Danio rerio: one gene and its partners. The protein of the gene in region 3 purifies or fractionates together with the protein of the main gene of each other region. This does not show direct contact. Links are inferred from orthologs where the notes say so. Each region holds a gene or a part of one and is shown on either strand. Other genes may lie near its edges.

Region 1 (4,272 bases), on a different chromosome or scaffold from region 3:
TTTAATTTATATAACGGATTCATTTAATGAAGGAAGTAGCAAGTTAATATCGGCAATAATACATTTTATATGTAATAAAAATCTTTTTACATGTAACAAATGTATAACACTAAATTAATATTTTACTCAAGCGATTTAATAGTGTTTATTTTCTTATTTTTTTAATAACTTTTTAATAAATGATTTACCACATTAAATACTGTAGTAATCTATAGTAAGCAATATTGTTTTTAAACCAAAATTTAGCAGTAAAATCAAATAACTATTAATTAATAAATAAAAAAAGTAATAAATATAAATTTATCCAGGGATATCGAGGGAAAGCGGGAGGTTGCCGCTTGGCATAGATATATACATTAAATGTCGCCTACCCTGTTGTTGTCTATTGAAAAGAATGCCGCCATTTTGGAACAGGGTAGCGCTCCTTTGAAATAAATGCGGGACCAAGGTACAGTGGTGGAGGACTGTGGCCATCCAAAGCCAGAGATCTACACATATATCTATGATCGGGAGTTTTCCTGGATGTTAGTATGCAAATTAATTTTTAAATTACGAAATTATCATTTTACATCACTTTTCTACATTGATGGATCAGTGATCGCATTGGCATTCCTGACAAAAAGCTTGTGTTTGTGTATTCGGAAATGTACAATCTACCCTCCTTGTTAAATTTGATCTAATCCGTGCCCTGAAACACACCTCCTCTCCTGCTTTTACTACTCATACGGAGGGAGCGATTCGTTTGTGAATGAATTTCCCTTATGAACGACTCATCTCGTTGTCATATTTCTTTTGCATTGTTTGCTGATTTTATTCAACAAAACTAGCATAAGCCGAGTATTTAGTGCGAATTGGAGCTACTTTGCCTTATGGTGAATGCAGTAACGTTAAGTGATTGATTATCATCAATAACGTTACCTGTTTAGCACAAAAGTTCATAACATACAAAAACGTAAAAACTTAATCTTACCTATGAAATCTTCTGCCTTTGTGCTTTGTTTTCGTTTGCTCGTTACTACACCCGTAGACAGCGCTAAAGTCCCGCATCTTCACGTAATAATACTGTCTTGACAAGTGCGGTTGAATGACATTTGTCCTAGGAGCACTGCACCAATGTGGCGGCGCTATTGACGCATGATCAGGGTCCCTATGCGATATCTAGTGTATATATCTATGGCCGCTTGGTTGCACCCTTACAGTCATTGGTCGCACCATGGCACATTTGCTATTGGTGGACTTTGTAAGTGTAAAAACTAAGGATAATCAAGGTAAGGATTAAAAAAGCAACTTAGTAAAAATAGGAATGTTCTCAGGAATGGGGATTGTGGGTTCTGAAACGTCTGTGCTCTGTGGGTTTGTATTTATCTTCGGAGGGCGATATATCAAATTCCCTTTAGCAATCCCTGCTATGACATATAACAACAAAAGATGGCAGTAGTTGGACAAAAAGGTGCAAGCTGTCGGTAGAATCCAGAAGAAGAAGAAGAAGAAGCAGCAGCAGCAGCAGCAGCAGCAGCTATTAAAGAAAATGAGTCGTCGGCATTGGTAAAATTCGTAAACGAACGATTTGCTTTGAACTAAGTTTATTAGTGTTCTGCTATAAAAGTATCTTACAATAATAGTATGACCATATAAATTGGTGATGTGTGTTATTTTAGTAAAGTAATAACTGGATGAAAGTGTGTCAACGGTAATGTTAAGTGATTATTATTTAAGTTAACTGGGAGAGCGGGAATGTTAAGACAGAAATGTGAAACGGATACCCAGCTCGACGTAATTGTTATTCAATTTCAGATATATAATTTTATGACTTTGATTCAACCATAGCAAGACGATAGACACAGAGAAGATGTCTTCTGTCGGGGACACCGCCTGTGCAGACTTGAGTGAGAAAAAAGATAACGAGAAAAAGAAGAGATCCCGGGTGAAACAGCTGCTGTCTGATGTGAAGAAGCAGGTGGAATTTTGGTTTGGTGATGTGAATCTTCACAAGGACAGATTCATGAAGAGTATCATTGAGCAATCACGAGATGGATGTATGTAACTTTATTAATTGTATGATTATCTGTCAGGATACCCATCATTCGTACATATTTCACTTAACATTTTATATATTGCAGATATTGACATTGCCGTCCTGACAACGTTTAACCGAATGAAAAACCTAACTGCAGATGTCAAATTGATAGCCAGGGCTCTTAAAAACTCAACAATAGTAGAGGTATGATTTGGTTTGACAATTTCTTGTCCTTTATAAAATGAATTTTATTTCAGAATTATCCACTTACTTTGTTAGCAACTGTAACACAGCTGTGGTGTGCTTAGGTTAATGATGAGGGAACTCGTATACGACGAAAGGAACCACTTGGTGAAACCCCAAAAGATGTGGACAGTCGCACAGTTTATGTGGTAAATTACTACAAATAAGTATACATAATAATGCTAGCATACTGTATGTGTCATTTCAATGTGTATTCTCTTAAAATTGAAATTGTGTTTTAGGAGCTGTTGCCAAAGACAGTCACTCACATTTGGCTGGAGCGAGTGTTTAGCAAATGTGGACATGTGGTTTATATTAGTATCCCCAGGTACAAGTCCACAAGGCATTCTAAAGGATTTGCATTTGTGGAGTTTGAGACGCAAGAGCAAGCACAAAAAGCTGTTGAGGTAACTGTTGATAACTTTAATATTTTATATAATTTATTGGGCTCTATTTTGACGATCAAAGTGCAAAGCACAGGGCGCAAACGCATTAGGGGCGTGTCAGAATCCACTTTTTCTAATATAAGAATGGAAAAACCCGATTTGCGCCATGGCGCATGGTCTTAAGCTTATTTTCTCAAGGAGTTATGGTGTGTTTTGAGAATAAAGCAATCAGAGTCTCATCTCCCATTCCCTGTAATATTCAGTTGCATCGCGCCATAGCGCATTTGCTATTTACATGACGTAAAGTAAGAGGAAAAACTGAGCATTTTACTAGCAAGAAAACAGTTAAACAGAGCGTCTGCAGCATAAGAATAAGAGATAAGACCTTCTCATTATCGACTTTCACTTTTGCTCTCGTGGATCGTAAACCTTGTATGCACAGACATCAATTAGCCTATAAATAATTAGTTTTGTTCATTAAACGCAATGATTTGTTTCAAAACTATTTCTTAATTCAGTTCTAATTTCCAGCAAATGAATAAATGAACAATATTAACAAAGTGTGTTCAAACAACTGAATTATATCCTAATACACATGCTATGCCCCATATGGCCTAAAACTTGACAGGTGGATAAATCTAAGCTTGTTTTTAATAAAACAAATATAAATATACATATAATAAATAATACAGCTAATAATAATAACATTGCACAAAAGCAAATAGTCATGAATGAACTAAAGAAGCCTCCCGAGATGAAGAAGGCATGCATGGAAGTATGGTTTTTATATTTATGTGGGCTAGAATATAATATGTTTTGTAATATTTTAATCCTTTATATTTTTATCTTATATTTATATCCTCAATATATCCTATTTATATATCCTTAGTACTTTAATTCTTTTTCATATGTAAAGATATTTGCGTATTGCTCTACATCTTGTGTGTATTAAGCAATGTGTAAGTGAGGCGCACAACTAACGCATTCTGAGCTGGACAATGGACCGGCTTTGTTCTGGTCTATAGAACAGACTATTATAGTTACTCAAAATAGCAACGTGCCAGCAATGAGCCTCAACGCGCCTTCCTTTTTAGACCAGAACACCTATGGGCGCACATATGAGCGCAAATGCATTTGCTATTTAAACAGCGTGGCGGAAAACTTCAAAACGACTCTTGTGCCAAAGCTTAAACTAGCAAACAACAATTGCGTCAGGCCTTGTGCCACATTGCGCCGGGTGTATGATAGGGCTCATTGTTATTAAATACAGAAAAGATAATGTAAATACAAACACCAAGTTGCTAGCTTTGGGTATACACACCCATTTTTTTATTTTTATGTTTATCATATTTTTGGTTTATTATTATTATTATTATTATTTTATTCTATTTTATTATTTTTTTAATTGTTTATTTATTTATGATTTAAAATGACAGATGCTGAACAATCCTCCAGAAGATGCTCCAAGGAAGCCAGGAATCTTCCCAAAGACTTGTAGGAAAAAGGCTGTCCCTTTTGATGCTGTCACACAGGGTAACATTGATATGCCTTATGTATTTTGAAAATACTGCCTAAATTAATTTGACAATATTTTAATGTAAAAGAGGGCAGTGGCCAGTTGATGTC
Region 2 (3,500 bases), on a different chromosome or scaffold from region 3:
CAATTCAACCATGAGGTCACCAAACAGTTATTCGTCACTACCACTGAGACCACAATTATCTTACTCTTAATGTATATAGTGCAAGACAAAACAGATATAAGAGTATTCACTTTCAAAATCCTTGTGCATCTTCAGCGGCCACAGCCATGGTGGAGGGCAAACTGGGGAAAAGTCTGAAGAAAGTTCTGAAGAAGGTTGTGGCCAAAGAGGCTCACGAGCAGCTGGCCATCACTGACGCTAAACTGGGAGGAGTCATTAAGGTAAGCTGCAGGATTTCAGGTTTTAATGTGCTGAAATGATACTGCAGATATTTGGACTGTGAGAAACAACAAGCTGTGATGATGATGACCATGCGTCATTTTGCTGAAAAATCATGAGGCTTTTTTGTCACTACCTCATCTGAGCTTGTTTATTTCTCAAGGAGTCATTTATTAAAGTTAATTTTTTTTATCCTATTACTTTAGATCCTTTTAGTTTGTTTTACACCACCTAATATCACCATATTCAGGCTGTTAATTACTTTTTCAACTGCCTGTTAACATTTATGTGAGTAAATATATTCAGTTTGAATGCACCGTAAATATGCTGGCTTCCACAATTAGTTTGTGTTGGGACAAAATGAAATGAATAGTCTTTACAAATTTAGGTGGATTGAAGAAAACAGTAAGGTTTGCCCTAAGAATCGTTGTTTCAGTTCATTTTAAATGAGTAGTTTGAACACACAGCATATGTTTCAGAATATCTTTACCTACAAATCACTTAAAACATGTCATACATTTGGACTATTTTGTGCTAATTTTTAAAAATGATCTAAGTAAATAGATTTTTGGAATGCATTGGGAGGGTTAAGCAGTAGAACGGACACTGGTTCAGTTTCAATATTACCACTCTTGTGCACTGTAATGGGATATGCACATGGTATTTTCAGTAAACCAGCTCAATCCCTTCTGATGAACTTTTGTTCTGCCACTACAAAATAGCCACATTAAAGATTTGGGTTTTATTTTTGTTTTGTTTTTTTCCCCCAAAACTCTGATGTTCCATGCCTGACTAAGACACAATATGAAGTGGGTCTAAGACTGAACAAGCAGGACTGCGTTATTTCAGTTATTCTGTGCCATGTCTTTAAAATAGGAGTATATATTTTGACAGTATTTTCAATGGTATTTTAGTGATCGTCTGCTGATCCTCATGGTGCCTTCATCTCGTTTTGCGCCTGAAGAACTAAATCAATAAGATTAGTAAGCTGATTATAAGTTAATTACATTACATCAGTAATGTTGTAAAAGGGAACTGTTTGAAATTAAAAATAGTCAAATTATCCTTTTACCTGATATTTATAGGTGGCTGTAAAGCACTAGCTTTGCTTATACCACATTGCTTTAGGACAACCTTTTCTGTGTCCACTGAGACTCTCTGTCGCCCCCTGCAGGAAAAGCTAAACCTGAGCTGCGTGCACAGTCCTGCCGTCGCTGAGCTCATGAGGGGCATCAGAAACCAGATGGAGGGGCTCATCACAGGTCTTCCTGCCAGAGAGATTGCTGCCATGTCTTTGGGTTTAGCTCACAGGTTAGTTTATAGTTTACACTTGATCGAATGCACTCTATGCTCATGTCGATGATTATTTTGTGCTGACTGACTTTTCTGACGATATTCTTCAGCCTTCGTCACTACCACTGAGACTCTGAGCAGATATTCATTTTTCTTTACATATGCAAGGTTTGTTCAGCAATTGACTGGTTTTCATTGCATCTTCTAGTCTTTCACGTTACAAGCTGAAGTTTAGCCCAGATAAGGTGGACACCATGATTGTTCAAGCAATCTGTAAGAAACATCTTTATTTACATACTATTAATTAGTATAAGTTGGCCTTTTTTATAGATGAAGTTTTTTAATGAAATGTACACTTCACTTTTTCACCTGCAGCTCTGCTGGATGATCTGGATAAGGAGCTCAATAACTACATCATGCGCTGCAGGGAATGGTACGGCTGGCACTTTCCAGAGATTGGCAAGATCATCACAGATAACCTGGCATACTGCAAGACTGTCCGCAAGATTGGTTAGTTCTTCCAGCAAAAGCATCCATATTTCGGTTTTCCTTACAAAGTGTGTTGTGCATGTGAAAGGTGTGTGAGTCACACCGATAATACAAATTAAATATAAATATACAAGTTAGAGAATTAAAATCAAATTAGATTTTAAAAAAATTAAGTTTGCTCATTTTATGCAAGTCCAAACTCATCTTAAAGGTAAATTAAAGCTGAAAGATTTATGTCCCTGAATTGTATGTTTTATCCTGACGTTTCAAAACTTTAGGAGATCAGAAATCTAAATTATCCTAGGATGAGTTTTAACTAAATGTTTTCTGGCATAACACACATGCTTTATATGATTAAACTGTATTTCTGGCTTACATTCACATTAAAACAAACAGAAGCTTAGCCATACCGGTTTGTTGTGTGAGCAAACTTACCAGAACTTCTCATCAAATTTGAATGGTGTAAACATTGTCCCCTGGTGTTTATATGTGTGTTAAAGACTAAATTATTTCTATACATCATAAATAGCCATCGCATTTCTTTTGAAGACTTCAATCTAAAAGCTAATTTTATTGTGATTCATTGTTTATAAGTATAAGAGTATTTATAAAGCATCAGTTTTGGAAGAGACTTTTTGTAGAGTGGCTGCAATCTTTAGATTCAATTAATATCCTCATATTCTGCTATCTGAATAATGAATTGACAGCTAAAGCTAAGGTTTTCAATGATAAAATGTTGTCTTTTTTTCATTCATTGTTTAGGTGATCGGACAAATGTGGCGACGACAGAGCTGTCTGAGTTTCTGCCAGAGGAGATTGAGGCGGAGGTGAAGCTGGCTGCAGAGATCTCGATGGGCACAGAGGTGTCTGAGGAGGACATTGCTAACATCATGCACCTGTGTGACCAGGTGTGTTAAACAACAGTTTGGCTGAAGCATCTTGAGTTTATATTGGTTTGCAGGATTAACTGTTTTTATCAATAGTTAATCTGTAGTTGATTCATATTTTTCCTCTCTACTTCCAGGTTATTGAAATATCAGAGTACCGCACACAGCTGTATGATTATCTGAAGAATCGCATGATGGCGATTGCACCAAATCTCACAGTCATGGTGGGAGAATTGGTGGGAGCCCGTCTCATTTCTCATGCAGGTGAGCTCTGGATAGCTGAAGAAAATTAGGTGTAACATTTGATACATTCTGTTTTTCATGACTGGATTGTGATTGGTACAATATGCTTTTTTGGGGGGTAATTGGTTTTCATTTAGAGTTTCAGAGATCCAATTGAAGATAAATGGAGTTACTGTTAACTAAATCTACAAGTTATTCTAAACTCCTCAATATGTCCAGTCTTCCTGAGCAAGCAATTGTAGGTTTGTAACAAATCTGCCTAAAACTTATTGAGTTCCTTAGTTGTATGTGAGGTTGTATGTGTATATGAAACTCATTTAAGTAGCTGGG
Region 3 (4,021 bases):
GTGACTGCTGGAGCTCAGCGTTAAGACGCGTGTATAGCCTACACTGCAGCGCATGACAGAGTGTGCTTGTGTGTGTTTGTGGTCATGTTATGTGCGTTTTCAGGGGTATAATGTGGAAGCGCTAGATGAAACGCCAGTTTACATGGATCGTTTTCGTTCTAAAATGCCATTTGTAAACGGGGCCTGAGTGTGTATTTTTTGCGAGCAGATTTGCGACAGGGGTGGAGGATTGTGATGTCTATCGGTCATCGACAATGGATGATGGCATCATCTATCAACCCAACCCTACTTGATAATGTAGATTTTAGACTAAAGCAGCTAATATTAATTTACAATGAGGAAGGGCAGAGGGTTGCTGAAGAACTACTGAGAGATTTCAACTGCTGCCTGGGCTTTCACTGTGGTTCCCTTTCTTCATGTGTTCAATACTTTTTCCCTGCTCACTTCATTTTATTTGGCATAACCTAATTTGTAAACTAATTAGATTTGTTTTACATATATGGATTTTTTGCTTGTTACTAACATCCAGGGAAAGATTCAAGTCAACAGCACCTTTAGAAATACATTTTCCAAAAAAAAAAAAATGGTGATGCGTTCAATGCTTAATATCCACGCTCTATTTATCTATCTATCTTTCAAACCATTGTTAGTGCGAAGGAAATAATCATTTAATATGTAGTATAATTGTAAAATCATTCATCATTTTATAAATTAAGCCAGAGTACTGTTTTTTTATAAAATACACTTTGCTAAAATGTAATACGATTTTCTACACATTTAAAATCACTTTTAAATTCTTTTTTAAAAAAAGCCATAAGGCACATGCAATATATATATATATATGGGAGTAAAATAAAACTGCTTTAATATCCTGCTTACCAAAACCACCCCTGCCTCCTCGAAATCCTCCTCTTCCTCCGCGGTCTCCTCCGCCTCGTCCCCTTCCACCAAATCCTCCACGACCACCACCTCCCCTTGGGCTGAATCCTGAAGAGAAATATTACTTTGATGAAGGGAAAGAGCAAAACATTTAAAAGAAAAGGAGAAAAAACGCATTTGTGGATCATACTATTACTAAACCAGTTTAAAGTTGCAAGTGACTCCTTACAATAACCAGAAAAACATTTTTTATAGTTTCTTGTTTTCACCGGGTGGTATGGTAGAGCACATTTTTAACTTTGCACTGTCCGAAGTACCAAAAACAAGTCTGCTGTACTGCATTTATGGAAACTTTTAATAAATCAAAATTGCATTCACACAAATTTATGAAATCCATTAGTAACCACATTTGGGCCTGAAGACATACAAAAACAAAACATTCATTTTGTAAAAAGCTAAAACTTTCCAAATGCTTAAAAAGCCTCAAAATATTAACTTTTTTTAATGGTTACATTTGTAGCATATATATTTGGTACAGAACCAATTAAAAGAAGTTACTTTTCATTTCGTGTCATTTTAGAATGAATTACTATTAGGTGTCAAAAACGTTTCGTAAAAAATATAAAAGTTTAGTCAGAATCCATATAAAAACTTTAATCCATATAAAATCAATTAAATCCATATTAAAAAATTTAGTCTATCTTTAATATTTAATATAAAAAATAATTGCAAAAACCTTTTCTGCATTCACTCAATGAACAGCTGCTGTTCAGACAACATGGTTTTAGTTGATGTTTCATAAATACAAAATAACCCTTCTCTTGGCAAATAAGAAGTCGAATGTCATGATATTAGAGCGCTAAATGACAGCATTAAGAGGGTTAAATGATTGAAAAAGTTTATATTCACACATTCATTCAGTGACAACTTGTGACATGTTTCCTATATTGTTTACTATAACGTTTGTACTTTTAATATTCGGTCTGAAATTACAAGCAAGTATGACTCGAATACATTGACACTGTATTTGACTGTAAATAACACAAGCACTACGCATTTAACTGTGAGCAATATTGTACTTTGATAGTCACTCGCTGCTAAAATGATTTCATTATTTAGAATTTGCAAATAATATTTTTGAGAAAGTCCCTGTGTGTGAATGTAAAACTAACTTTACCTCAAGTCCATGTGAATATACCCCACTTTTGGAGACCACACAACAAACAACAGTTACATCTCGCTCAAAATACATTCTGTTTTGGGTGTATTTATGTCTTTGTTCATCCACAACAACAAAACTACTTATTGTACAAGAGGAAAAAACGTGTATTCCTCTAACGTTACTTCTAATAACTCGACAACGCACAAACTCAAATGTACAAAAAGTTGAATAAAGTTACACAAAACTCACCATTTAAAATAAAACACATTAACTAGACAACTAGTTTCAGAAACAAAAGCAAACTGGTTATTATCTCTAACTAGTTAAAAGCCATGTGGGGCTTCAGCACCGCGTGTAACAGCATGGCTCGGTCGCACGCACGTGCAGCGTTGTAACATGTGTAACGTTATTTACATGTACAAAAATAACGTTATTTACAACAAAATCACTTTTTAACAATTCTACACCAAAGCTTGTAATAAATTAAATAACAATGCCATGACATTTAAAGAGAACGAGCGTTTCTTTCACAAAACTGCAAGTGCGTGGCTAACTCATCCGGCTAACTCTAAACCAACACTTATAAACAGCGTTACTTGGATTATATTTTATAGCGTTGACTTTAGCTTTTAAAATCGAAATGTGTACATAACTTACCTGGTCTCATTTTATCTTATTTTGTGCGGTTGTTTTAACTGTACGAATAGCTGGCGTTAACTCAGACCCGCTTTTCCTCCGGTCTACTGCTGCACTGATCAGGTGGCCACATGTGCGTCGAACGTCTTTACCCACAATGCACTTGAAAAAAAGTCGTGATTTTACTCGTTGTTTCGCCATCTAGCGGGAAACATTGCAGCTACAATCATGAATCTGCTGCCTTCATGAGCCCTTTCAGTTCAATTCCCAGAGACTTTTCGGCTATTTGCTACTAAATGGTGAGGACTAACGATAAAATCAACAACACTACTAATACAATCTAATATAGGCTAGTTTTCTGCTTAAATTAATACACAGCGGATGCCCTTCCAGCTGCAACCCAGTACAGGGAAACATCAATATACACACTCAAACTCGACCACCCGGAGGAAACCCACAGGGAACACGGGGAGAACATGCAAACTCCAGAACTGACCCAACCGGGACTCGAACCAGCGACCTTTTTGCTGTGAAGGGACAGCGCTACAGCCACTGTGCCACCATCGGTTTATTCCATATTGTAAAAAGTTCCCTTATATTATTCCATTGTCTTTCAAGGTATACAGGTGAAGTATGATTTTAAGATTTTATCCGGGTCTTACAAACTGGATGACTGCTCTCTAAAAAAAGTTGAGTTATTTATTTAACCCAATTGTTGAGTTAAAAATTTTTAGTACTTAGTTGGGTTATATTTAACCTTTATTTAATCATTCATGAATAACTCAACTAGTTGGGTTAAATGCTTGGTGCCTTGTTGGGTTATTTATTTATTTATTTTTTGGTTATTTATTTAATAACTCAACTAATTGGGTGTAAAGATGCAATTCAAATTAAATGAAATATATTTTCTAACTTAAATGAATACAAATGTATGAGTGTACATTTAGGTAATGTATAGGTACAGTTAAAGAAATCTTATAAAATGTATCTTAAATAAATCTTAGTCTTATCTTAAATCCCTCACTCATCATTGTGTTGTCCACTCGTAGGCTCAAGGCATATCTTTGTTTTTAAGTCTATTCTGGGTTTATTCCCCTCATATCTATAAACTTACATTTGTAAAAAAAAAACAAAAAAAAAAAACTCTCTAGCTATAGTCTTTGGCCTCAGGAAGTGTATTTGGGCCATTTCTTCAACTACTGGCACTTTTAGCCTTGTAAAGTTGAGTAAAAAAATGGTTAAAAATTATCGTAACATAGCCACATAAGTTTAAACAGTTTGTCTAGTTTTACGATCTGTAAGAGGACCAACTTAGATAAGAAGAGAAACATTTTTTCATGGTGA
Region 4 (3,500 bases), on a different chromosome or scaffold from region 3:
AGAATATAAGAATTCGGTCTGCAAGAGTTAAATTCACTTTCCGGCTTATTTTACTTTGAACAGACCGATACACAATACAAATTACATCATTTGCAAGTATTGCAATAAGTATTGCAATATGAATAGTTTCATAAGATGGTTTGAATAGCTCTATTTGACAGTCTTCAGGGGAGTCTAAGGCTACGTTCACACTGCAGCCAAATGTGGCCCAAATGAATCTGCAGCGTAGTAGAATGGCACCGGGCAATTACTTCACCACAGAAACGTGGTTGTTCATGTTGAAAAATATTTTGAAGGCAAAACTGGTGCTTGTTACCCAATCTGGTTACCAATTGGGGCGTGGGTTGATAGCAAAGCCGAAGAGGGTTGTTGTGGATAGGGGATCCATGCACAAAGGAGAGGCACTTTCATTTTAAGGACGAACATTCTCTCCGAGAGAAAAAAAAGGGCAAGCAGCCAAACCTCCCTTCTGCATGTGCCTGTTGTTTATAACGATGTAAAATGAAATAACTCTGCAAACGGAGATAAACCAACTCCTTCACTGTTCAGTCTGCGGCTGCTCATTAACCCTTGATGAGCTCATTACAGCGGTGGCCTGAAAGACGCGCACCGCGGTTGTCATAAATCACAAATGATCAGTGTTTTCAATCACAAGAGACCTATTTTAGGTTTTAAATGGTGAAATACACATTAGTAGTAGCAGAACAACCCTTTACAGTTCCTTAAATACACCACGGTTGTCTGTGAAAAGGGTAATAATCATATTAAGCATAATCTGACAATGTGCTTCATACAGTATATTATACATTGTGTTTATAATATGACATTTTGTGGCCCCCGTAGTGTGCTTTTGCGCATGTGGATCACTACACATCTGTTAACTATAACAACAATGTGAACAGCCATGCAAAAAAATTTGATTTGAGCACTAAACCTTGCAGGGTGAACATAGCCTAACAGTTTTTGTGTACAGTAATTGAACCACAATGCAACTTTTCCTTATAAAAATATTCCTGTAGAGTCAATCACATCTCAAATAAAAGCAATACAGAAACATCATCCATGTTTACTCAGAGCTTTTAGCTGAATACCTTTGATAAGTTTTATTAACATATGCATTCGGTCTGTATAATAAGGCTGCAAAATACTGGAAAATACGCGAGGTGGTCGAGTATTGCGATTAACAATACCACTTATAACATAATTTCCCAAAAAAAGTTATAATATTAGCTATGTTAAATAATTTATGCAAGATATTAACAAACAGTTCAAACATACTTGTCAGATCTAATTTAAACTAAAAAACGGTGAAGGTGCAAACATTTAGTCTTGAGTGAAAGTCAGATATTTCTGACTGTAACTGGCTGTTGTTATTTTTCTTTCTCATCTTGACTCCTGTCATTATTGTTTATTTTCAGCTCTGGCTTTACCTTTGGGCTGCTCAAGCCAATAGTAGACATACCTGCCAACACTTCCGTTTTTCCTGGGAGTCTCCCCTATTTTAGACCCATCTCCCGCCACCCTCCTGTTTTGTTATTTCTCCCAGAAAACTACCGTTCTTTCACTCCCACCCCCTCCAGTCCTCAGCTTTTTAGTACAGTCTGTAACAACCCCGGATCAGCGACTGTGGTATAGTATCCGATTGCAGCGGCTGCCTGAAACCCGGTGCAAAGTACAGTTACTTAGCAGTGTTATTCAGAAACCTCACCCCCGACACCTAGACATCCCCACCACTCCCACCAGAACTACTCCAAATCACCCCCCATCCCCGCCCCAACTTCCACCCACCACCACGACAAATTTTCAAACACAAATGTAGGCAGATATGATAGTAAAACAGCAACTAACAGAGAGGTAGGGATATAGCAAGGCTCCATCTGATTGGTCAAATTTAGATAAACAACCAATGCATAAAATAAATGTAATTCATTACACACGTCTTTATTTTGCATATACTATTATCACGATAATGATAATTTTACCATTATAGTGATATATTGTGCAGCCCTACTATCCATCCATCCATCCATCCATCTATCTATCTATCTATCTATCTATCTATCCATCTATCTATCAATATCTATACGTGTGCGCAAGCATTTATATCTAAAAAAAATATTAAAATATAAACAGAGCTGGATTCAGTTTTAATGCATCCATTCATCGGATATAATATTAACAACAACATCACACAGCTTTTGTGTTAAATTTATATTCTATAAATCCAATCAAGAGGTTGTGAACTGAAATGAAATCAGCACATCTGAATTGATACCCAGATCTACACACCGACATGTGCACTTACAGAGTTTCTACATAGGCGTTTTCATCCACACTCCACACTTTAATGGAGCGGTCATGTGACGCACTGTAGAGAGTATGAGTCCCTCGTCTAAAAGCCAAACCCTGCCGAGAAAGTTTAAGAGCATGAGAAACATATTCAATCAAATATGTGCGGGCTGAAATATAAGGCAGACATTTCATCATATTCAAAACATATTCGTATTTGTTTACTCACCGATATGGCACCTCTGTGTCCTGTAAACTTGAACAAATGTTTACATGTCTCTGGATCCCAGATCATGATGTGTTTATTCATATCCCCGCTAGCCTATGAAACACACAAAACAATCAGTAAACATCAGTGAAATCTCTCAAATAGCAAACCAACTCTCTACCTCTCTCAGGCCTAAAATAAACATTAGTAAATTTATTTCAGGATAGAATGTCTGCACTGATTAAATCTTAAACTGCACTGTAAGTGTATATAAACATGCAATCTGATCCACTGAATGTTTCTCCATAATCTTTTGACTTGAGCAGCTTATAAGTGCTTGCAGAATATTATCCATATATCTCCATCTCTCTAAATGCTAAGAGTTTAAGTGACTTGAGCATTTGAAAACACAAAACAGCAATTTGTAAAGTGAAAGATTTAAAAGCTTGTAGTCCAAAAATAGATGAATTTGAAATCAAAGTATTAAGAGTATAAACAGGGTTTCTGCTAAGTTTAAGACTTTAAGAAATTTTTAAGAACAATACAAATGAAATGTTAGGCTCTTTAAGAGCTAAACGCTAAGGAATTTTTCAAATTTCAGATGGGGTGCCCTATCAAAAAATTATTATAATTTAATATTATTGAGATGGATTGTTGGTGATTTTATGAGTGTTAATGGTCAGATTGGGTAGCAATACATGAACAAAGGAAAATTAGGACCTGTTTAAAAAAAGATTTAAGACATAACACAAAATTTCAGTAAATGTAAGACTTTAAGGCCTAAAACTTAAGCTTTTGAGATTTAAGACATTAAGACCCCATGGACACCCTAAAAAAGAATCTATAGCTGTATGGTTTAATGTTTGAAAGTAAAAAAAAAAAAAAAGTAATTTCATCTATAAGTATATAAGAAGCTCATTGGAAAAAACAGATAACCACAATCTTTACATTTTTCACTTTTGTCACTGAACTCTTCAATACTCATAGTAAAATATGATTTCTG
Region 5 (4,034 bases), on a different chromosome or scaffold from region 3:
TTGGGTGTGATGTTGGACATTACTGTATAAGGAAAACAATTCAACAGGTAATGTACTTCTTAAAGAAACTATTGTCTTTTAATGTTGACAAAACATTGTTGATCATGTTTTATAGCGATTTTATTGAAAGTATTACAACATTTTGTGTGATATGTTGCTTCTGCAGCCCAGAGGAGGTAACTGGGGAAGTAAAAACAGCCAGTACGTTGTTGGGAATATAACTAAAGAGCATTAATAGTATATACAAAGAAAGAGTACTAAATAACCCTGCTGAAAAATCCAGCTTAAACCAGCCTAGGCTGGTTGGCTGGTTTTAGCTGGTTGACCAGCCTGGTTTTAGAGGGGTTTTGGCCATTTCCAGGCTGGTTTCCAGCCATTTCCACCCTGGTCTTAGCTGGTCAGGCTGGAAAATAACCAGCCAAATCCAGCTAAAACCAGCTTGACCAGCCTGGTTTAAGCTGGACATAGCTGGTTTTGGTTGGACTCCCAGCTTGGCTTGACTGGTCAAGCTGGTTTTAGCTGGTCATCTCCCAGCCTGACCAGCTAAGACCAGGCTGGAAATGGCTGGAAACCAGCCTGGAAGTGGCCAAAACCCCTCTAAAACCAGCCTGGTCGACCAGCTAAAACCAGCCAACCAGCCTAGGCTGGTTTAAGCTGGATTTTTCAGCAGGGAAGGCTGTCATGATTGTCAATGATGAGAGGCATCCTTTGTTACCATCAAGTCATCAATATTGTGTTCTCAGATATTTTGAGAAACAGGACAAAATTATAATTTGTACCTCAAGCAATTAAGTTTTGAAATTCCTTGAGGGCTAGTAGACTGGATATTTATTTAGAGTAGGGTACAATGTTTTATACGATTTATTTATATAAATGTGAAATGTCTCTAAGTGTATGCTGCATGAAATTTCCCTACGGGGACAAGTAAAGTTAACTAACTTAATTTTGGGGATTTTAATAAAAATGGATAAGAGAGGTATTAACATTTTCCAATTCATGTAGATCAAAACATTTAAAACCAAAGTGACATCTGAGCCGATTTGAAGGAAGTCTTTCAATAAAAATGTACCTTAAATTGCATTCTTAGTAGCATTTTAGATCTCTGATACAATAAAGCTACATTAATGATACAATGAAGTGTCTAAAATAGCATGTTTAGCATGACGCACTTATTGTGCGCCATTTTCCGAGCCTCCACGTGACGATGAAATAACCTATCGCGCTCCTCCTCCACGTGAGTGCAACGAAGATGGCGGAGGACAGCACGGTGCCTAGCGATCTCTACCAACATGTGTACTCGTTTCTCGTGGAAAACAAGTTCGCCAAAGCCGCGAAGGAGTTTTTGAGGCAGGCTAAAGTGGTAAGAGTTGCTTCAGTTGTTTGTTTGGAGTGGTCACGCGCGTGGAGGTTGTTAACGCTTAGCTCGGTTTTTTTCTGCACACGCGTGGGAGCGAGTCGCAGTTAGTGCGGGACACGTGTTTACGAGCTGCTGTAGATTATGTGTTAAATAAGGTTTCATTTCTGCCGGTCGTTGTGTCATTTTACCCTGTTATAACACAGCTAAGCGTTTTTGTACATGCAACCTTTTTTTCTTTGTAAAAACTGAATTTGATTCACTGAAGATGGGCTTCGGGTTCTCAGCAGGTTCAGTCTTGTCTGGACTGCATATACTAGAGTAATAAAGTGATGTATTTGGGTAAAGTTGGTTTTTATATTCGCACATTCAGAATATCTCCTCAATGATATAATTTCAGAAAATAATACTTAACAAATTCTAAGTAGTCATTGGCTCCTAATATGATTTCCCATTGAAAGTACAGCATTTTCACAGTTAAGTAACTAGTGCTTTGGTTGTTTTTTTTAAACATTTTTTTATTGGAGAAAAACACTTGAAATTTAACATGAAAATACACTTGTTTTTTTTTTTAATATATTTTTTTACACTTCCCCCTTCCCACCCCCAAAGCATCCACGTTCAGTATAGCAGGTAGATGTATTGGTATAACGTTACATGGGCTAAGGTAAAGAAAAACATACTGTATTCCACAAATAAAAATACACATGTCAATCAATTAATCAATAGTGTGAGAGGTATTTGATTGTGCCATTGTATAGTTATGTTCCAAAAATTGTATAAACAGATCCCAAATTTTATGGTACTCCTTTAATTTGCCTTTTATACTGTAGGTTATTCTTTCCAGTGCAATGTAATGTGTCAAATCTTTTAGCCAGTGATCAATCGATGGACTTTCTGTGTTCTTCCAATAGAGTGCTATCAAACGCCTTGCAATAACAAGACACATATCAATCATTTTAGTTTTATAACCTGATAATGACAAACCTACAGGAAATAAACCCAAAGCGCATATATTGGTTTTAAAATAATTGATGAAATTAATGTTATTACATTTTGCCAGAAATTCTTAATCAACTCGCATTCCCAGATACAATGAAAGAATGTTCCTTTATGTTTTTAGCATTTGAAATGTATATCTGGGATGTTTGGGTTAAACTTGTTTAGTTGTTCAGGTGTGATATAAGTGCGCATTGCCCAGTTATATTGGATCATTTTAAATCTAGTATAATTGACAAGTTCTGGGCTTTAACACATTTGGCTCCATTCTAAATCTGTCAGGTCAAATTGTAAATCTGTACACCAAGAATCTTTCTTAGATTCTGATGTTTCTTTAGAGCCATTGACTAATTTGCTATAAAACAAGGAAATATAATTTGTCATAGGATTCTGATAAAACATTATTTTTTCGCTTGTGGTGTTTTAGTCATACTTGCATGCTATTTCAGACCAAATATTCAGAGTAGCATGGTAAACAATATAAAGACCGTGTCAAAAGTGTTCACTCTTCAAAAATAAACGAAAGTGCGAATATAAAGCCAACTTTACCTCAGCTGGAGAGTCATTGTTTTTCCATGGTTTGATCATGATTTATGAATTGTAATTGTTTAAACCAGGGATGTCCAAATTCGGTCCTGGAGGGTCGATGTCCTGCATAGTTTAGCTTCAACTTGCTTCAACACATCTGACTGGAAGTTTGTAGTAACTTATTTCTAGAAAAAGAGCTTGATTAGCTGGTTCAGGTCTGTTTAATTGGGGTTAGAACTAAAATATGTAGGACATTGTCCCTCCAGGACCGAGTTTGGACACCTCTGGTTCAATAAAATTGAACAACAGAGCTAATATGTAAAATAAGTGTAGTAAATTAATCAATGTGTTATGTCACCACAGAGAAGTCTGCTTCAAACTCTCTTACATTATTGATAATATTTGAGGTGAAGTTGGTTTTTATATCCGCACATTCATGCTTTCAAAAATCATATTAGCAGCCAACTACTATCAACACCGTTCACAGTCAGTTAAATGGTGCTAACGTTGATTTGAAGTCATACTTGCATGCTATTTTAGACCGAATAGTATGGTAAACAATGTGTCAAGTTATCGCTGTTAAAAATAAACGAATGTGTGATGTGTAAAATGTGTAAAACCAACTTAACCTCAGTTTAACACAATGTTTACATTTCATGTATTAAATGTTTAATATTTAAGTTCTTCAAATTTTTTTTTTTGATACACTCAATATAAATTGCAATCAACTTTTTGTTTTCATCAGAAACCTCAAGACCAAAATGAGGACAGTCTTATGGACATCTTCAATTTCTGGGTCAAGTATGTATATGTTGTGTCTTCATTATTACTATGATCTCTGTACCTCGATCTAGCCCAGGGATTCTCAACCGGTGGGCCTCAGGGATCCTGCAGGTGGGCCACGAAACGTAACTCAATATTATACTAGAATTTCAGGATTTTACTATTAATATGCTATATTAAATGACTGAAGTAATGCACTTTCTCCTGTTCGCTTATTGACTATTTCAAACTTGGTGCAAAAAAAGCCTCATGATTGTGTCTGCAACTAGTACACGCAAGTCTGTTCATTCACAATGCGTGAAGTGAAAGTCTCTCTTTGCGCATTTTTGTGTTAACTATTTAATATATCTGCAGTTGTCCAAAAGAATGT
Region 6 (3,946 bases), on a different chromosome or scaffold from region 3:
GTTTTTGGTTATAAAGTTTGTGGACATAAGAACGGTCTAATACTAAGATTCATCTTTCCAAAATAAAACTTTAAATCTTGCAGATTCCTAACTTTAGTGTGGTAGTGTATGTGCAAACACTGCTGCAAATATAAATCACAATTGTATTATTTAATTTACTCGTCTTTTTTAAGGAACTGTAAGTGTAACAATGTTTATGATAATGATGAAACAAAATAATAATATTAATAAAATAAATAAGTAAATAAAAATATTAATAAAAAGGCAAATATGATTGAAATCTTTATAGGTTTAAAAAAAAGATCAATTAATGAAAATCTACAATTACACTCATTCAGACCTGTACTCATTACAATGGATAAACACATTAGTGATCATATCATATTTAAATAGACTTTATTACAAACATTTTGCTGATAAAATAGGTAAAACCTTGTGGTGTTAAGCAAAGTGGCATATCCAAAGCATACCAATGACAAAACTTATTATTAGACTGAAGTACAGCTCAGTGTTTCTGCTCTCAGCCATAAACAAACTCTAATACAACTTATACCTTTAGATAAAGCATGTGGTAGAAATATAAACAGTAAATCAATTTCAACAACAACATTAACATAAATGTTTACCTGCAAAAACAAATAAACAAACAAATAATGCGATTAAACTAAGGAGAAAGACATTAAAAATACAAAGAAAACAGCTGAACACAATTAAACATCGCGCATTTTACACTCACCTTAAAATGCTGATCCCTGTACTGGCTCACATCAACATAGGAGTCGCTGAAAAGAGCATTTAACTTTATGGACATTGTGAAAAAAGCAAATTAATTGAGGAAAAGTGAAGCTGGACGTGTTTAAATCAGCACGACACACAAAGCGGAAAGCGCTCTTCTTCATATGTGCATGACACCGGCTCACACTGCTTTACCGCCACCTACTGTTGAGAGCAGCTAAGGCTACGACATTGTTGATTACCTTTGCCTACTACTTAAATAATTTAAGCAACAATTCATTGAGCAAAACAGTAGTGCGAAGAGACAAATAAACAAATATTTCCCACTATTATTTGACTTTACATTTCTTCTTCTCGTTTGTCTCCCGCTTTTCCTCGCGATAAGACCGCGAGCAGTCTGTGACGTCATCTGCGATATCCAACATGGACGTGCGGATAAACAGCGGCGTTTCTGCTCGAGCAGAGAGAAAAGAGCAAGAAAAGGCCAAAATAATCCAGCGAGAGAAACAACGGCAGACTATGAAGACGGTATGAAAACATTACAAATAATCCATATTCATATGAACTGAATCTGCGATGTGGTACACAATTAAAGCCATACAGCCGGTGCTAATCAGCCGTTGCCCCTCATTCCCATGGTAACCACAGGATCTATCACTAGCGTAATTACAGTAGGGAAGCTGATGGTCAGTCAAGATGAGGCAGACTGTACAACCTGTAAAGACGCGGTTTACTGTGCTAAATAGGGATTTGCCCTCATATTTGGTTCAATATCTCTTTATGAGGGTTAAAGGACCAGTTGTAAGAAAATAACCCATATTTGATATTCATCCTGCTGAAATAAACAAACAAAACAACAGGAGACCACCACAGAAGACTGAATGGGTACTGAGGTAGAGTTGGTTTATATTCGCACATTCGTCCATTAAGAAGTCTCTATATTGTTTACCATGTTTCCTTGAATATTCAGTCAGTATTAGCATGCCAGTGTGACTTGAAAGCAACATGAACACTATCTGGTAGACTGATCAATGCTGTACTGTGATCATTAATAGCTGCTAATGTGGTTTCCTTCTTTAGAATTTGCAAACAACACTTTCCTGACATGATATTATTAAAGAGAAGGTCTGAATGTCTGAATATAAAAGCAACTTTAGCTCTATGGAATGGGTTTGATTATATTTATAATGGAGGTGTTTAGGTCACACTCCTCCTCTGTGCACCGGGCACTTTGTTTGAAACACTTCTGTTTCTGTTTGTACAGAATATAATGATAATGATAGCTCCTCTACATGTTTATACTTGTGCCCTTTTCTACAGCCACATACTCTATATCTAAAGTCTTCAAATATATTATATTTGCTTTTATTTTCTGTTGCATAACCTCTACTTCTCATAATTTCTATTCTTATTATTATTCTTATTCTTATTATTATTATTATTATTATTATTATTATTATTGTCATTATGTTTAAGGTCATGAGTGGTTGAGTAATGCCGAGTTCAGACTGCAGGATTTTAGCCCTGATGTTGACTTGTCGAGAGGTTTCTACCATAATCTATGCAAAAGTTATTCAAACTGACGAGAGAACGGAACCACTAATGGGTGTATTGGGCCAGTACAAACCTTTAAAATTGAAAGAGTTCTGAAGTAAATGACTTGACGGACCGGTACCAGAGCTTAGGAGGTGTATTGCACACATTTTATTCATCCATTTTCTGTTAGTCCTTTTATTAATCAGGGGTCGCCACAGCAGAATGAACCGCCAACTTATCCAGCATATGTTTTACACAGCGGATGCCCTTCCAGCTGCAACCCATCTCTGGGAAACACCCATACACACTCATACACTGAGGCCAATTTAACCTACCCAGTTCCCCTATAGCGCATGTGTTTGGACTGTTGGGTAAACCGGAGCACCCGAAGGAAACCCACGCCAACACGGGGAGAACATGCAAACTCCACACAGAAACGCCAACTGGCCCAGCTGAGACTCAAACCAGTGGCTTTCTTGCTGTGAGGTGACAGCACTACCTACTGCGCCACTGTGTTGCCGTCCACACATGTTATGTTAAATTGAATGCAAATGTGACAGGACTGACCGAAACACAGGACAATTGTACATTTAATTGTGTTATAAATTTGTATAAAGGTTATTTATAATTTCAGTTGAAGGGAATCATAATAAGTAAATAACTAAATAACAACTATTTTTTTTCTAAATAACAGTTTTTAGCATAACAAATCTATTAATTCTGTAGGTTTATTTGGGCTGACGACAAGGACAGGGTTAGTAAATTTCTAAAGTGTTTTTAATAAACAACAAAAATCAGAATAACTGAAATCAAGCCCATTTTAGACATTTTTGGGATGAAACACTATTTATTCACTGTATTTGTATTTTGATGGACAGATAATGTACAGTATTGGTCATATGTCCTGTAAGCATTTCCCTGCATGTCATATGATGCATGACTGTGTATGTGACTAATACAATGTGAATTTTACCATTAGACCCTTAATAACATGGCTCCTATATTTAATTTCAGCAGCTTTACAGTAATCTGTCTTGAGTTAATAATATCTATGGAGGACCAAACTTGCAAAAATTAAAAATAAGAACAAACTGATTGTTCCAGATCTCGAAGATCCTCCAGAAGTGTGAGTCTGAGTGGACAGAGGAGGAGCGGTCGATGCTGCAGGCGCATCAGGACACCGTGCAGGAGCTGAGCCGACGACAGAACCGCAGACACCTGCTCAAGAGGAAACAAGAGGAGGTACAGAGTGTGCTGTAAACTAACGCTGAACATTATATTATAATATGTGTGTCTACAATAGTTTAACATTAAAATATATGATTAAATATTGCTGAATAAATCATTCATATAATAAAGACCATGTTATTTTACGTTTGATTGTTTAATTTATGTATTTGAATACCGTCAGACTCCCCAGAAAGCCATGAAGCACTGTTCATTTCACTTTTATTTTTGCACTTTTCTTTTATTAGTTTTAGTTATAAAAAGTCTTGGTTTCATTAGGTAATGCTTGTTAATGTATTTACTAACATGAACTTATGAACGATATTTGTACAACATTTATTATTCATAACTCAACCATGTACTCATGCATTATAGACATCCACATTTGTGTTTGTCAACATTAGTTAATGTGAAGTAACAAATCCACAACTGAATTTTCATTAACTAA

What was found.
Region 1: the proteins of fbl (region 3) and larp7 purify together in Homo sapiens (affinity purification with mass spectrometry; 3 studies listed by BioGRID and IntAct, counting the BioPlex papers as one, with this or other methods). This does not show direct contact. The link is inferred for Danio rerio from reciprocal best matches to the Homo sapiens genes FBL and LARP7.
Region 2: the proteins of fbl (region 3) and nop58 purify together in Homo sapiens (affinity purification with mass spectrometry; 7 studies listed by BioGRID and IntAct, counting the BioPlex papers as one, with this or other methods). This does not show direct contact. The link is inferred for Danio rerio from reciprocal best matches to the Homo sapiens genes FBL and NOP58.
Region 4: the proteins of fbl (region 3) and rrp9 purify together in Homo sapiens (affinity purification with mass spectrometry; 3 studies listed by BioGRID and IntAct, counting the BioPlex papers as one, with this or other methods). This does not show direct contact. The link is inferred for Danio rerio from reciprocal best matches to the Homo sapiens genes FBL and RRP9.
Region 5: the proteins of fbl (region 3) and nolc1 fractionate together in Homo sapiens (co-fractionation; 3 studies listed by BioGRID, with this or other methods). This does not show direct contact. The link is inferred for Danio rerio from reciprocal best matches to the Homo sapiens genes FBL and NOLC1.
Region 6: the proteins of fbl (region 3) and sirt7 purify together in Homo sapiens (affinity purification with mass spectrometry; 3 studies listed by BioGRID, with this or other methods). This does not show direct contact. The link is inferred for Danio rerio from reciprocal best matches to the Homo sapiens genes FBL and SIRT7.

The regions. Positions count from the first base shown.
Region 1 is NC_133182.1:62,360,976-62,365,247, reverse strand, and holds the start of larp7 (la-related protein 7), read left to right. Parts: upstream 1-1,472; 5' UTR 1,473-1,528; coding exon 1,529-1,545; intron 1,546-1,549; exon of another isoform or gene 1,550-1,673; coding exon of another isoform or gene 1,674-1,690; intron 1,691-1,827; coding exon 1,828-2,036; intron 2,037-2,120; coding exon 2,121-2,221; intron 2,222-2,325; coding exon 2,326-2,409; intron 2,410-2,502; coding exon 2,503-2,667; intron 2,668-4,082; coding exon 4,083-4,179; intron 4,180-4,272. UniProt on the Homo sapiens protein: RNA-binding protein that specifically binds distinct small nuclear RNA (snRNAs) and regulates their processing and function.
Region 2 is NC_133181.1:10,596,748-10,600,247, reverse strand, and holds part of nop58 (nucleolar protein 58), read left to right. Parts: exon of another isoform or gene 1-59; intron 60-135; coding exon 136-260; intron 261-327; exon of another isoform or gene 328-410; intron 411-1,432; coding exon 1,433-1,569; intron 1,570-1,759; coding exon 1,760-1,824; intron 1,825-1,926; coding exon 1,927-2,061; intron 2,062-2,802; coding exon 2,803-2,948; intron 2,949-3,064; coding exon 3,065-3,191; intron 3,192-3,500. UniProt on the Homo sapiens protein: Required for the biogenesis of box C/D snoRNAs such as U3, U8 and U14 snoRNAs. Part of the small subunit (SSU) processome, first precursor of the small eukaryotic ribosomal subunit.
Region 3 is NC_133191.1:46,606,246-46,610,266, forward strand, and holds the start of fbl (rRNA 2'-O-methyltransferase fibrillarin), read right to left. Parts: upstream 2,801-4,021; 5' UTR 2,709-2,800; coding exon 2,699-2,708; intron 988-2,698; coding exon 880-987; intron 1-879.
Region 4 is NC_133186.1:38,619,024-38,622,523, forward strand, and holds part of rrp9 (U3 small nucleolar RNA-interacting protein 2), read right to left. Parts: intron 2,612-3,500; coding exon 2,519-2,611; intron 2,407-2,518; coding exon 2,306-2,406; intron 1-2,305. UniProt on the Homo sapiens protein: Component of a nucleolar small nuclear ribonucleoprotein particle (snoRNP) thought to participate in the processing and modification of pre-ribosomal RNA (pre-rRNA).
Region 5 is NC_133188.1:4,947,783-4,951,816, reverse strand, and holds the start of nolc1 (nucleolar and coiled-body phosphoprotein 1), read left to right. Parts: upstream 1-1,234; 5' UTR 1,235-1,249; coding exon 1,250-1,360; intron 1,361-3,626; coding exon 3,627-3,682; intron 3,683-4,034. UniProt on the Homo sapiens protein: Nucleolar protein that acts as a regulator of RNA polymerase I by connecting RNA polymerase I with enzymes responsible for ribosomal processing and modification.
Region 6 is NC_133197.1:41,135,129-41,139,074, forward strand, and holds the start of sirt7 (NAD-dependent protein deacetylase sirtuin-7), read left to right. Parts: upstream 1-1,146; 5' UTR 1,147-1,158; coding exon 1,159-1,263; exon of another isoform or gene 1,264-1,616; coding exon of another isoform or gene 1,617-1,628; intron 1,629-3,375; coding exon 3,376-3,513; intron 3,514-3,946. UniProt on the Homo sapiens protein: NAD-dependent protein-lysine deacylase that can act both as a deacetylase or deacylase (desuccinylase, depropionylase, deglutarylase and dedecanoylase), depending on the context. Specifically mediates deacetylation of histone H3 at 'Lys-18' (H3K18Ac).